Ovis aries: one gene and its partners. The protein of the gene in region 1 purifies or fractionates together with the protein of each later gene. This does not show direct contact. Links are inferred from orthologs where the notes say so. Each region holds a gene or a part of one and is shown in the gene's direction. Other genes may lie near its edges. The genes, in order: USP12, DMWD and PHLPP1.

The links.
Region 2: the proteins of USP12 (region 1) and DMWD purify together in Homo sapiens (affinity purification with mass spectrometry; 3 studies listed by BioGRID and IntAct, with this or other methods). This does not show direct contact. The link is inferred for Ovis aries from reciprocal best matches to the Homo sapiens genes USP12 and DMWD.
Region 3: the proteins of USP12 (region 1) and PHLPP1 purify together in Homo sapiens (affinity purification with mass spectrometry; 4 studies listed by BioGRID and IntAct, with this or other methods). This does not show direct contact. The link is inferred for Ovis aries from reciprocal best matches to the Homo sapiens genes USP12 and PHLPP1.

What each region holds. Positions count from the first base shown.
Region 1 is NC_056063.1:32,937,495-32,941,882, forward strand, and holds the start of USP12 (ubiquitin carboxyl-terminal hydrolase 12), read left to right. Parts: upstream 1-1,586; 5' UTR 1,587-1,749; coding exon of another isoform or gene 1,750-1,797; intron 1,798-3,180; 5' UTR 3,181-3,227; coding exon 3,228-3,305; intron 3,306-4,388. UniProt on the Homo sapiens protein: Deubiquitinating enzyme that plays various roles in the regulation of the immune response and inflammation.
Region 2 is NC_056067.1:53,110,775-53,113,189, reverse strand, and holds part of DMWD (dystrophia myotonica WD repeat-containing protein), read left to right. Parts: intron 1-1,121; coding exon 1,122-2,390; intron 2,391-2,415. UniProt on the Homo sapiens protein: Regulator of the deubiquitinating USP12/DMWD/WDR48 complex. Functions as a cofactor that promotes USP12 enzymatic activity.
Region 3 is NC_056076.1:61,589,543-61,592,569, forward strand, and holds part of PHLPP1 (PH domain leucine-rich repeat-containing protein phosphatase 1), read left to right. Parts: intron 1-403; coding exon 404-632; intron 633-3,027. UniProt on the Homo sapiens protein: Protein phosphatase involved in regulation of Akt and PKC signaling.

The sequences.
Region 1 (4,388 bases):
GATAAGGAATATCTGATTTTAGAGTTGCGTCTGAATTTCTGCCCCACTGAAATGGGGGAACCCAAAAAAGCATTCCATGACTACAGTTCTTTAATCGTGAAAAATCACGCTTTCTAATACAATAAGGGCTTCCCAGGTGGCTCAGTGGTGGAGAATCCGCCTGCCAATGCAGGAGCCACAGGAGATGCGGGTTTGATCCCTGTGTGGGGAAGATTCCCCTGCAATGGCAACCCACCCCAGCGTTCTTGCCTAGAGAATCCCATGGACAGAGGAGCCTGGCCAGCCACAGTCCTTGAGGTCGCTAACAGTCAGACACGACTGAGTGACTGAGCACACAAGCAGGCTAATACAATAATTTATATTCTATTAACTTGAACTTCTTTCTCAGATAGGAAGACACGAAGCTGCCCTGCCTGACAGGAAGCACAGGGTGAAATTATGCATTTTACAAAAGCAGAAAATGGTAACTGTTCTCCTGGCTAACACCAGCTTCACCATTTCTCACAGGACCTTTTTCTCACTTGCAGGACTACTTGTCCCTGGGAACATCATCGTCACTGCTGGGTTGAGATCTTTCCTATTTTGCAACTCGACTTTCAGAACAAATATATTTAGAAACTATATTTATAACCAAATTCTAAATTTATGGCCAACAAGCAGGCAGGAAAGCAGCTTCGCCCCCTTCCTTGTAATTTACCTTTCTTGATTCAAAGAGCTAAATATATATAGTTTCTTCTTTGCCCCTTTCACGTTTATTGAATTAATTTGTCTTTCGCTAAATCATGGTGTTTTGACCCAGGTTATTCACCCAAAGTGTGTAAAAAGAGACAAACCACCTTGCATTTTTGCCGTTTGGGATGCTGGATGACCTGGGCTATTTTAACCGTCCAGAAGCAGGTTTCCCCCCATTGCACCCAGGATTGTCGAGACCCCCCCCCTCAGTTTTCTGGCTGGGCAGTGGCGGCTAGCTGTTCCCTCGGCCGTGGTAGAAGCTGGAGGTCAGCTCCTTTCAGGATGGACGCTAGTCATCCCCGCGCCCCTCTTCGTCCCTCACCCGAAGCGCAGGCTCTAGGACCGCGAGGGCCGCGGACGGAAGGCGGTGCCGCTCGAGCCCCGCCCCGGCCGAGCGCGGGGTGGAGCCGGCGCGGGAGTTCCCAGAGCGGCGCGTTCAGGGAGGCGGGAGGGAGGTGTCCGGGGAGAGGGCGGGCCCGGCGCGGGAGTGGGCGGGGCTCGCGGCGGCGGGCGAGGCTCGCTGCTGTGGGCGGGGCCGGCACGAGAGAGGGCGGGGTGCGCGGCGGTGGGGGGGTCGCCGGCGGTGGGCGGGGCCGGCGAAGGAGTGGGCAGGGCGCGCGGAGGTGGGAGGGGCGGGGCGGTGCCTGTGATGGTGGGCGGGGCGGGCGCGCCGCCAGGCCGCGCATCTGCTGGGCAGGCCGGGCATTAGGGCCTCGGCGGAGCCCGCTCCCCAGCGCGCTGGGCGGGGTGCGCGGCGGGCAGGCGCGGGCCGCGAGGCAGCGGCTGCGCCCTGCGCCGGGGAGGAGCCGGGGGCGGGCGGGCGGCAGGCAGGCGGGGGCTGGGGCCCGCGGCGGGGAGTGCCGGAGCGCCGGCGGCGAAAGCGGCAGCGGCGGCTGAGCAGCCTCGGTGCGTGGGTCCGCGGAGGCTCGGGGTCGGCCCGCGGTGTGAGCGGGCGGCCCGGCTGCCTCCCTCCCCGCCCGCCGCCGCCGCGATTGGGTGGAAGATGGCGCTGGGCGGATGGAAATCCTAATGACGGTCTCCAAACTCGCCTCCATCTGTACCATGGTAGGTACGGCGGGCGGGCGGCCCGCGTCCCCGCCCTTGCCGCCCGCGGGGCCTAGCGCGGGGCCGGCCGGGGGCGGTTGGACGGCGCGGCCCGAACGCGGGCGGAGCGGCCCCGGGGCGCGCGTGGGCAGGGAGGGGCGCGGGCCGGCGGTGCTCCCGATCGCCGCGGCTCTGGGGGGCCGGAGGCGGGAGCACGCGCGTGGTGTCCCCGCCTTTGCGTCCGGAGCGCGCGGGGCCGCGGCGGGGTAGGCAAGTCCCGCTGCCGGCCCGCGCGCACGGAAGTCGGCGCAGGTCTGCTCTCCGCGCCCTGGCGAGGCCGCGTCCCCTCGCCGGGCCCGGGGGACGGGTGTGTGTGTGTGTGTGTGTGTGCGCGCGAAGAGGGAAACTTTCAAGTGCTGTCGAAACTGACCCCCCCTCCTCCCCTCACCGTGTCTCCTCCTCGGAGGTGACCGAGCTCCCTGGTTTGGAGCTGGGGAGTCTTGTCCGGGAATGCCCGCCGATCCTGAGAACAGCTTAAGCGTTCCTGTCGTTTGTTTACTTGAACGCACCAGACGCATCGGTGTGTGACTTGGAAGTATTTCTGTGCGGGAACTGACGGCAGCATCGCTGTCTTGTGTCGTGTCGGGGATTTTTAAGTAGAAGGGGAAAAGAGCTTCAGGGGAAAAGAGCTCCTGCCTCGTGGACAAGTCCCGAGTTAAGCAGAGCAAGTGTGCGTTTAAATCTTGGTGTTCTGTGCTTGGCCAGGGTACCCGTTGTCACTTCACACGGTGGGGGCGAATTCGTTTCCTTAGCTCCTCATGACTTTTACATCTGGCGATCTCTCTGGCGATCTTAGTTATGAGCCGTCTCAGGAAAAAAAAAAAAAAAGTTATTCTTCTACCACGTGGGCCTAGCGATCTCGTTTATTAAAGACTCCTGCAGTCTTTCCTTCTGTTTTACGCCTTCCCAGCCCTTTTTGTGCCTGTGGGAGATTCCCCCCGCCCCCCACCAGCTGTCTTCCTCGTATGGGTGGTACATTTCCTGTACCTTTCTTTAAGGAGCTGCGAATCCGATCGGAAAGATGGCTTTTAGCCGCAGATTTCTGAACTGCACTCTGAGAACCAGTATTTTTAAAAATGGCTGAAATCAGGTGGGATTAAAATCTACAGTATTAAAGACATCACGCTGAAGAATGAATCATGAAGAGTCCATTTCAAGTGGATGTTTTTTCGCACAGTTCACATTTTAGGAAAGCATTGATGTTAAAGGGACCGTATTAAAGGATGATTTCCAAGGGTCAGGTAGATAAATTACGTTTAGATGTGTCAGTTATCATCTTACTCTATTTCAGAAAGAATGTGATAATTAAGTCTTTGAAAATGATAATCTTGATAATCTCACCAGATTGCTGAGCCTGCACAGACCGCCGAGCCTGCACAGATTGCCGGGTCATGGTTCCCTGTCAAAGTCTAGAGTTTCTGGAGAGATGTGTCTGTCTTACTGACTGCTCATCCACTCCAGTATTTCAGGTATACATTTAGCACCTACTTCGTGCAGGAGGGTGTGCTGAGTGCTGGGGATACAGCAGCAGTCAAGTGGGACTCTTGCTTTCAGGGTTGTTTACCTTCTACTTAAGGGAAACATGCATCATTCACATCAACGAATTTATAGATTCGCTAGTCAAATTAAGAAAATGAGGCAGAGCAATTTGCCATGTCAAACACTGAGTGGGATCTTGATCTCAAGAACCTTATGCTCTAGAGTTCTTCCTAGGGCTTCTGCTCTGGTGCATTAATTGCATGTAGTGTGATGTGTGTATTGTTGGCAAATACAGAAACATCAGTGCTCAGCCAAATGAGATTGCTCCTGAAGCAGTGTTAAAATTGGGTGTGTCAGTGTTCATATTTGAATAAAAACTCTGACGCTGTCCGAGATAGGGTTGAACATCTCAAAGTAGCCTGCAATCTTTTGCTTAAGGAGGACTTCAGCCTATCTTCTGAGATATCACCAAGTAGACAACCAAGAAAAGAAAAGTATTTACCTGTGTGCCTTTGTAGATTTCTGGCGCATTCACAGCTCTCTCTCAAGCGGGTAGCCTTACTTGAATAATCTTACACCTGTCCATCCCCAGCCTTCATCCCCACTCATGTCTTTTCACAGCATTTTTTTTAATCTCAGTGGTACTTCTCACATTGCTGCTGCTGCTGCTGCTGCTGCTGCTAAGTTGCTTCAGTCGTGTCCGACTCTGTGCGACCCCATAGATGGCAGCCCACCAGGCTCCTCTGTCCCTGGAATTCTCCAGGCAAGAACACTGGCTATGTTGTACCGCCTTATTATAATAGATTGTAAAGGCCTTAAGCAGAGGGACTGTTGTTTATTTGTTCAGTTTGGTAGAGCACTACCTTCTGCGGACAGTCAAGAGTTTCTCTGGGTCCCTTCCATCCCATGCTAATGTCTGGGGGGAGTGCGTTTGGCTAAACGTGGCTGAGATTGAGGTTGTGTGTTGGGTGGTGGGAGGAGGGGGCTGGATCTCTTAGAGAATCAGCAACTGTGAAAACATTTATAGTGAGTTGACATTTTATTCTATAAATAATAAAGTTGACAGAATTTTA
Region 2 (2,415 bases), on another chromosome or scaffold:
CGCTGGAAGGTGACAGGGAAATAAAGGGCCTGAAGGAGGCAGGAGAAGTTACTGGGGAGAAGGACGTTCTGCATAGAGGGAACAGCTAGCACAGATGCCCAAAGCAGGAGAGCAGAAAGGCTGGGTGACCAGAGCAGTGTTGAGGGGGAGGGTAATAGAGGAGTTCTCAGAAACAACTCGGAAGGGAGAGGAGATGGAGGGTCTGGAAGGTCATGAACGCTTGCCACCTGGGTTCACCTGAGTTATAGAAAGCAGAAACGATTTGATTGATTTCTAAATTCTCCAGAGAATGCAGAATGGGAATCCACTTAGATACCTGGGAAAGAAGTTAATTTGTTACAGGCACTGGATGCCTAAGGGCTTTAAGACTTGGTTCTCTCCGGAGCCCTGCCTGATAAAGGCTGCCATGTGTGTTCAGAGTGGGAGAGAGTGCTAGGTTGCTGGCTTAGGTTTTAGTCGCATCTCTCTGGCAATGGTGTAGAGAAGAGACCTGGGCAGTGGTGGCCGGGAGGCCGGTTAGGCCATCACAAGCCTGATGAGGGCTGAGACCAGGGTGGTTGGATTCAGTGGCAGGGAGATGAGAACAGGTCCATTTCTGGGTGAATTTTGAAGCTCCAGCCCACAGGATTTGTTGCAGGTGTGGAAGAGAGTGCTGAGGACAAAAAGGAGCAGAGATGCTCAGTGGATAGGATGGGGGTTGTCATTGATGAGTCCAGGAACTACTTTCCAGGGCTCCTACCTGTGGAGCTCTGTGCTGTGGGGCCAGAACAATGAACCAAATAAGCAAAGGTCCCTTCCCTCAGGGGAGCTGATAGTCGGTGAATCAATTTCTTGCCTTAAGCATGACACGGTAAAGATGGTAGAGGGGCTTAGACAGAAGATGTTGCTCTGGAATGCAGGACTGCCCTCCTGCCGAAGAAGGGACATTGAGACTCTACAGCGCCCCTCACACAGCCTTTCTCCCCCTGCCTTCCCGTGCTGGTGTCTGTCCTTTTCCCTCAGCCCCTCCTCTCCTGGGAGACCCAGGCTGGGGATGATGACTTTCTGCCGGGAACCAGGCTCAGGGGGAGGTGGGCCAGGGGAGGGTGGCCTTCTCCCAACCGCACTCTCTCCCCTGGTAGCGGCTCATCGACAAGACCAAGGTGACGTATCTGAAGTGGCTGCCCGAGTCAGAGAGCCTGTTCCTGGCGTCCCACGCCAGCGGCCACCTGTACCTGTACAACGTCGGCCACCCATGCGCCTCGGCGCCGCCCCAGTATAGCCTGCTGAAGCAGGGCGAGGGCTTTGCCGTCTACGCCGCCAAGAGCAAGGCGCCCCGCAACCCGCTGGCCAAGTGGGCGGTGGGCGAGGGGCCCCTCAACGAGTTCGCCTTCTCGCCCGACGGCCGGCACCTGGCCTGCGTCAGCCAGGATGGCTGCCTGCGCGTCTTCCACTTCGACTCCATGCTCCTGCGGGGGCTCATGAAGAGCTACTTTGGGGGCCTTCTCTGCGTGTGCTGGAGCCCCGATGGGCGCTACGTTGTGACAGGGGGTGAAGATGACCTGGTCACCGTGTGGTCCTTCGCCGAGGGCCGCGTGGTGGCCCGGGGCCACGGCCACAAGTCCTGGGTCAACGCCGTGGCCTTCGACCCCTACACCACGAGGGCGGAGGAGGCGGCGGCCGCGGGCGCCGACGGGGAGCGGAGTGGCGAGGAGGAGGAGGAGCCGGAGGCTGGGAGCACAGGCTCCGGCGGGGGCGCCCCCCTGTCCCCGCTGCCCAAGGCCGGCTCCATCACCTACCGCTTCGGCTCGGCCGGCCAGGACACGCAGTTCTGCCTGTGGGACCTCACCGAAGACGTGCTTTACCCACACCCTCCCCTGGCCCGCACGCGCACCCTCCCCGGCACGCCCGGCACCACGCCGCCTACCGCCAGCGGCTCGAGGGGCGGCGAGCCGGGCCCCGGGCCCCTGCCCCGCTCACTATCCCGCTCCAACAGCCTTCCACACCCCGCAGGCAGCGGCAAGGCGGGCGGCCCGGGCACGGCGGCAGAGCCCGGCACACCCTTCAGCATCGGCCGCTTCGCCACGCTCACGTTGCAGGAGCGGCGGGACCGCGGGGCCGAGAAAGAGCACAAGCGCTACCACAGTCTGGGCAACATCAGCCGGGGTGGCAGTGGGGGCGGGGGCGGCGGGGACAAGCCCAGCGGTCCCGCCCCCCGAAGCCGGCTGGACCCCGCCAAGGTGCTGGGCACCGCGCTTTGCCCGCGCATCCACGAGGTGCCGCTGCTGGAGCCGCTGGTGTGCAAGAAGATCGCCCAGGAGCGGCTCACGGTCCTCCTCTTCCTGGAGGACTGCATCATCACTGCCTGCCAGGAGGGTCTCATCTGCACCTGGGCCCGGCCGGGCAAGGCGGTGAGTCTCTCCTCGCCGGCCCACC
Region 3 (3,027 bases), on another chromosome or scaffold:
CCGTGAGGGGCGCGATCGGCCACTCTGACGCGTCGTGGGGGGGTCACACCTGCTCCTGTGCGCTGGGTCCCCCCCGCCCCTCTCGGGAGCAGAGGGTGAGGGAGACGCGGCCACCCCCGCTGGCTTTGGCCGCACTGAAACGGGCGCCGCAGGCCACACCAAGCCGGGTAAGGGCTCCTTGTCCCTCAGCGGCTCCTCGGGCTTTCTGTGGCGGAGCGGCCCCGCGCAGCTGGGAGCAGGCCCTGCGTGTGTGCCTGTGTGTGCGCCCAGTGTCGCGGGCTCCCCTGCGCCCGGCAGGCCCTGCTTCGGTGAAGGCGCCGCGTGGAGCCCCGAGCTCTGCTCCCCTGCCCCGTGTGGCCGTCTGGCAGCGGTGTGGTCTCTCAGCCCCGTCTCTGCACTCCAGGAAGCTGGGCACAGCCGGGCAGAAGCTTGGAGGCGCTGCCGTCCTTTGCCACATCAGGCACGACCCTGGGGACCCAGGAGGACCCTTCACCCTGACCTCCGCCAACGTGGGCAAGTGCCAGACGGTGCTGTGCCGGAGCGGCGAGCCGCTGCCCCTCTCCAAGTCATATGCTGTGAGCTGCGAGGAGGAGCTGCAGAGAATCAAGCGGCACAAGGCCATCATCACCGAGGTGAGGGCCGTCTCCCTCAGGTTGGGCGGGGCTGGGAGGGGGCTGCGGGACCGGCCGGGGAGCATCTCCGTCGGCGTCCTGTAGACGCCGGAGCTGATCCGAGATGACAGGTCCGGATCCACAGCATCACAGAGCAGGCTGCGTGTGACGTGCCTGAGTCATTATACGTGCAGAATACAGTACAGGGCCCAGCGGCCTCTCCACGTCGGGGCCGGGCAGTCATCCTGGCTGTTCCTCAGGGCGCCCGCTGGGGGCTCAGGCCCAGCAGCCTCTCCACGTCGGGGCCGGCCGGTCATCCTGGCTGTTCCTCAGGGCGCCCGCAGTGGGGCTCAGGCCCTGCGTAGGGCCGGGCAGTCACCCTGTCCCATCCTCGGGGCGCCAGCAGAGGGCTCAGGCCTGGTGGCCTCTCTGCATCAGGCTGGGTGGTCACCCCGTCTTATCCTTGGGGCGCCCACGCGGGGCTCAGGCCCAGCAGCCTCTCCGTGTCAGGCTGGGTGGTCACCCCATCCCCTTCTCAGGGCGCCCACTGGGGACTCAGGCCCGACGGCCTCTCCACGTCGGGCCAGGCGGTCATTCTGGCTGTGTCTCAGGGCACCCGCAGTGGGGCTCAGGTTCGGTGGCCTCTCTGCGTCAGGGCGGGTGGTCACCCCGTCCCTTCCTCAGGGCGCCCGCAGGGGGCTCAGGCCTGGTGCCCTCTCCATGTCAGAGCCGGACGGTCATCCTGTCTTTTCCTCAGGGCGCCCGCAGAGGGCTCAGGCCCGCAGAGGTCACACTGCCTGCCCTCCTCTCCTCCTGGCTCTGGGCCCTGCAGGCTGTCACCTTTCAACCTCGGCGCCTCGGCTTCCTCCTGGGTGAAGCGGGCGTGGCGAGGCGTCTGTCTGGCTCCCGAGGCCAGTGTACGTATCAGTGTGAATTAACTAGTTGTTACTTCAGTCCGTGCCTCCTGCTGCACGCAAATAAGGCGGTGAGTGGTTCTCAGCCAGGGGCCATTCCCCCATCAACACCACGGACACTTGGTAATGTCTGAGGACATTTTTGTTGTCACAACTGGGGTGGAGAGTGCGTGCTTTCGGCACGTAGCCAGTAGAAGCCAGTGTGTGTGCGCCTGTGTGTCAGTCGCTCAGTCTTGTTTGACTGTTTGCGACTCCACGGACTATAGCCCGCCAGGCTCCTCTGTCTCTGGGATTCTCCAGGAGTGGGTTGCCATTTCCTTTTCCAGTAGATCTTCCCGACCCAGGGATCAAACCCTGGTCTCCTCCCTCATTGCCAGCAGATTCTTTACCGTCTGAGCCACCAGGGACGCCCAGGGAGAAGCCGGGGACGCTGCTGAGCGTCCCACGGTGCCGGGCGGCCCCTCTGAGCCTCCACGGTGCCGGGCGGCCCCTCTGAGCCTCCACGGTGCGGGGCGGCCCCACAGCACAGTCTTTGGCCCGGAAGGTCCAAGTGCCGCTGCTGAGAAAGGCCGTCGGGCTGTGGCACCGAAGGCTGCTTGCGGCACAGCCTCCAGAACGGGCTGGAAGAGCTGGACTCTGTTCACACGCTCACCCTGCAGTGGGGGTCACCTCTGTGTGCCTGAAACGGATAGGTGCTGTCGACGTGATTCCCTTGTCTGCCCACAGGAGGTGTCCAGTCTCGCTTGTCAGTAAAGCCCGAGGAGCCGTGTGATGTCCAGGTGGACAGTGGTGGAGGTCTGCAGTCAGTAGAGAGAGACTGACTCCAGGAAGGCTCGCCCAGGGCCGTGAGGAAGACAACTCAGGACCTACCGTGGGAGTCTGGGAAAGGAGTCTTCCTCTCGACCCCAGGCCCCTCCTGTTCTGAGAGCAGAGAGGACTGAAGTGGACACTAGACGCCATGTAGGGAGCGAAGAGTCTCAGATGGGACCGAGTTACACTGTTAACTGTGCATTGAGTCCCGTGCTCAACAGCACATGGTGCAGAGATTAACCGTTTCTGCAGAAGAACTTGAAGAATCAAGAACCAAGCAGTTATACCAGGGCTCCTCGCTTCAGCCGCAGAGTAAAAGCTTTTTACTGGCAAACGGTCTGAAACTTTGGTTCATGGTTCAGATGGTGGGCACCCAGCTGGACTGAAGCGGGAGGCATCACCGTCTCCATTTGCTGCCAGCAAAGTCAGCTCAGGAATTATAGAAGCCGCCTTTCTCCTTGAATAAGTGTCTGCCTCTCCAAACACTTCACTTCTCCCTACCTAGTCTCACTGGGATCTCCCCAGCAATTTGTTTCAGCCTCCTTCAGTTTAAAACTCTGCCCGCTTCTGGACCTCCCCACACCTGCTGGTTGCTGAGCTGTGGGCAGTGGTCTCAGATGAGGGCCATCACTCTGAATGGTACCTGCCTGGGAGGGTCTGCCGCCCCCCCGGGTGGCTCAGCAGGCCCTTCC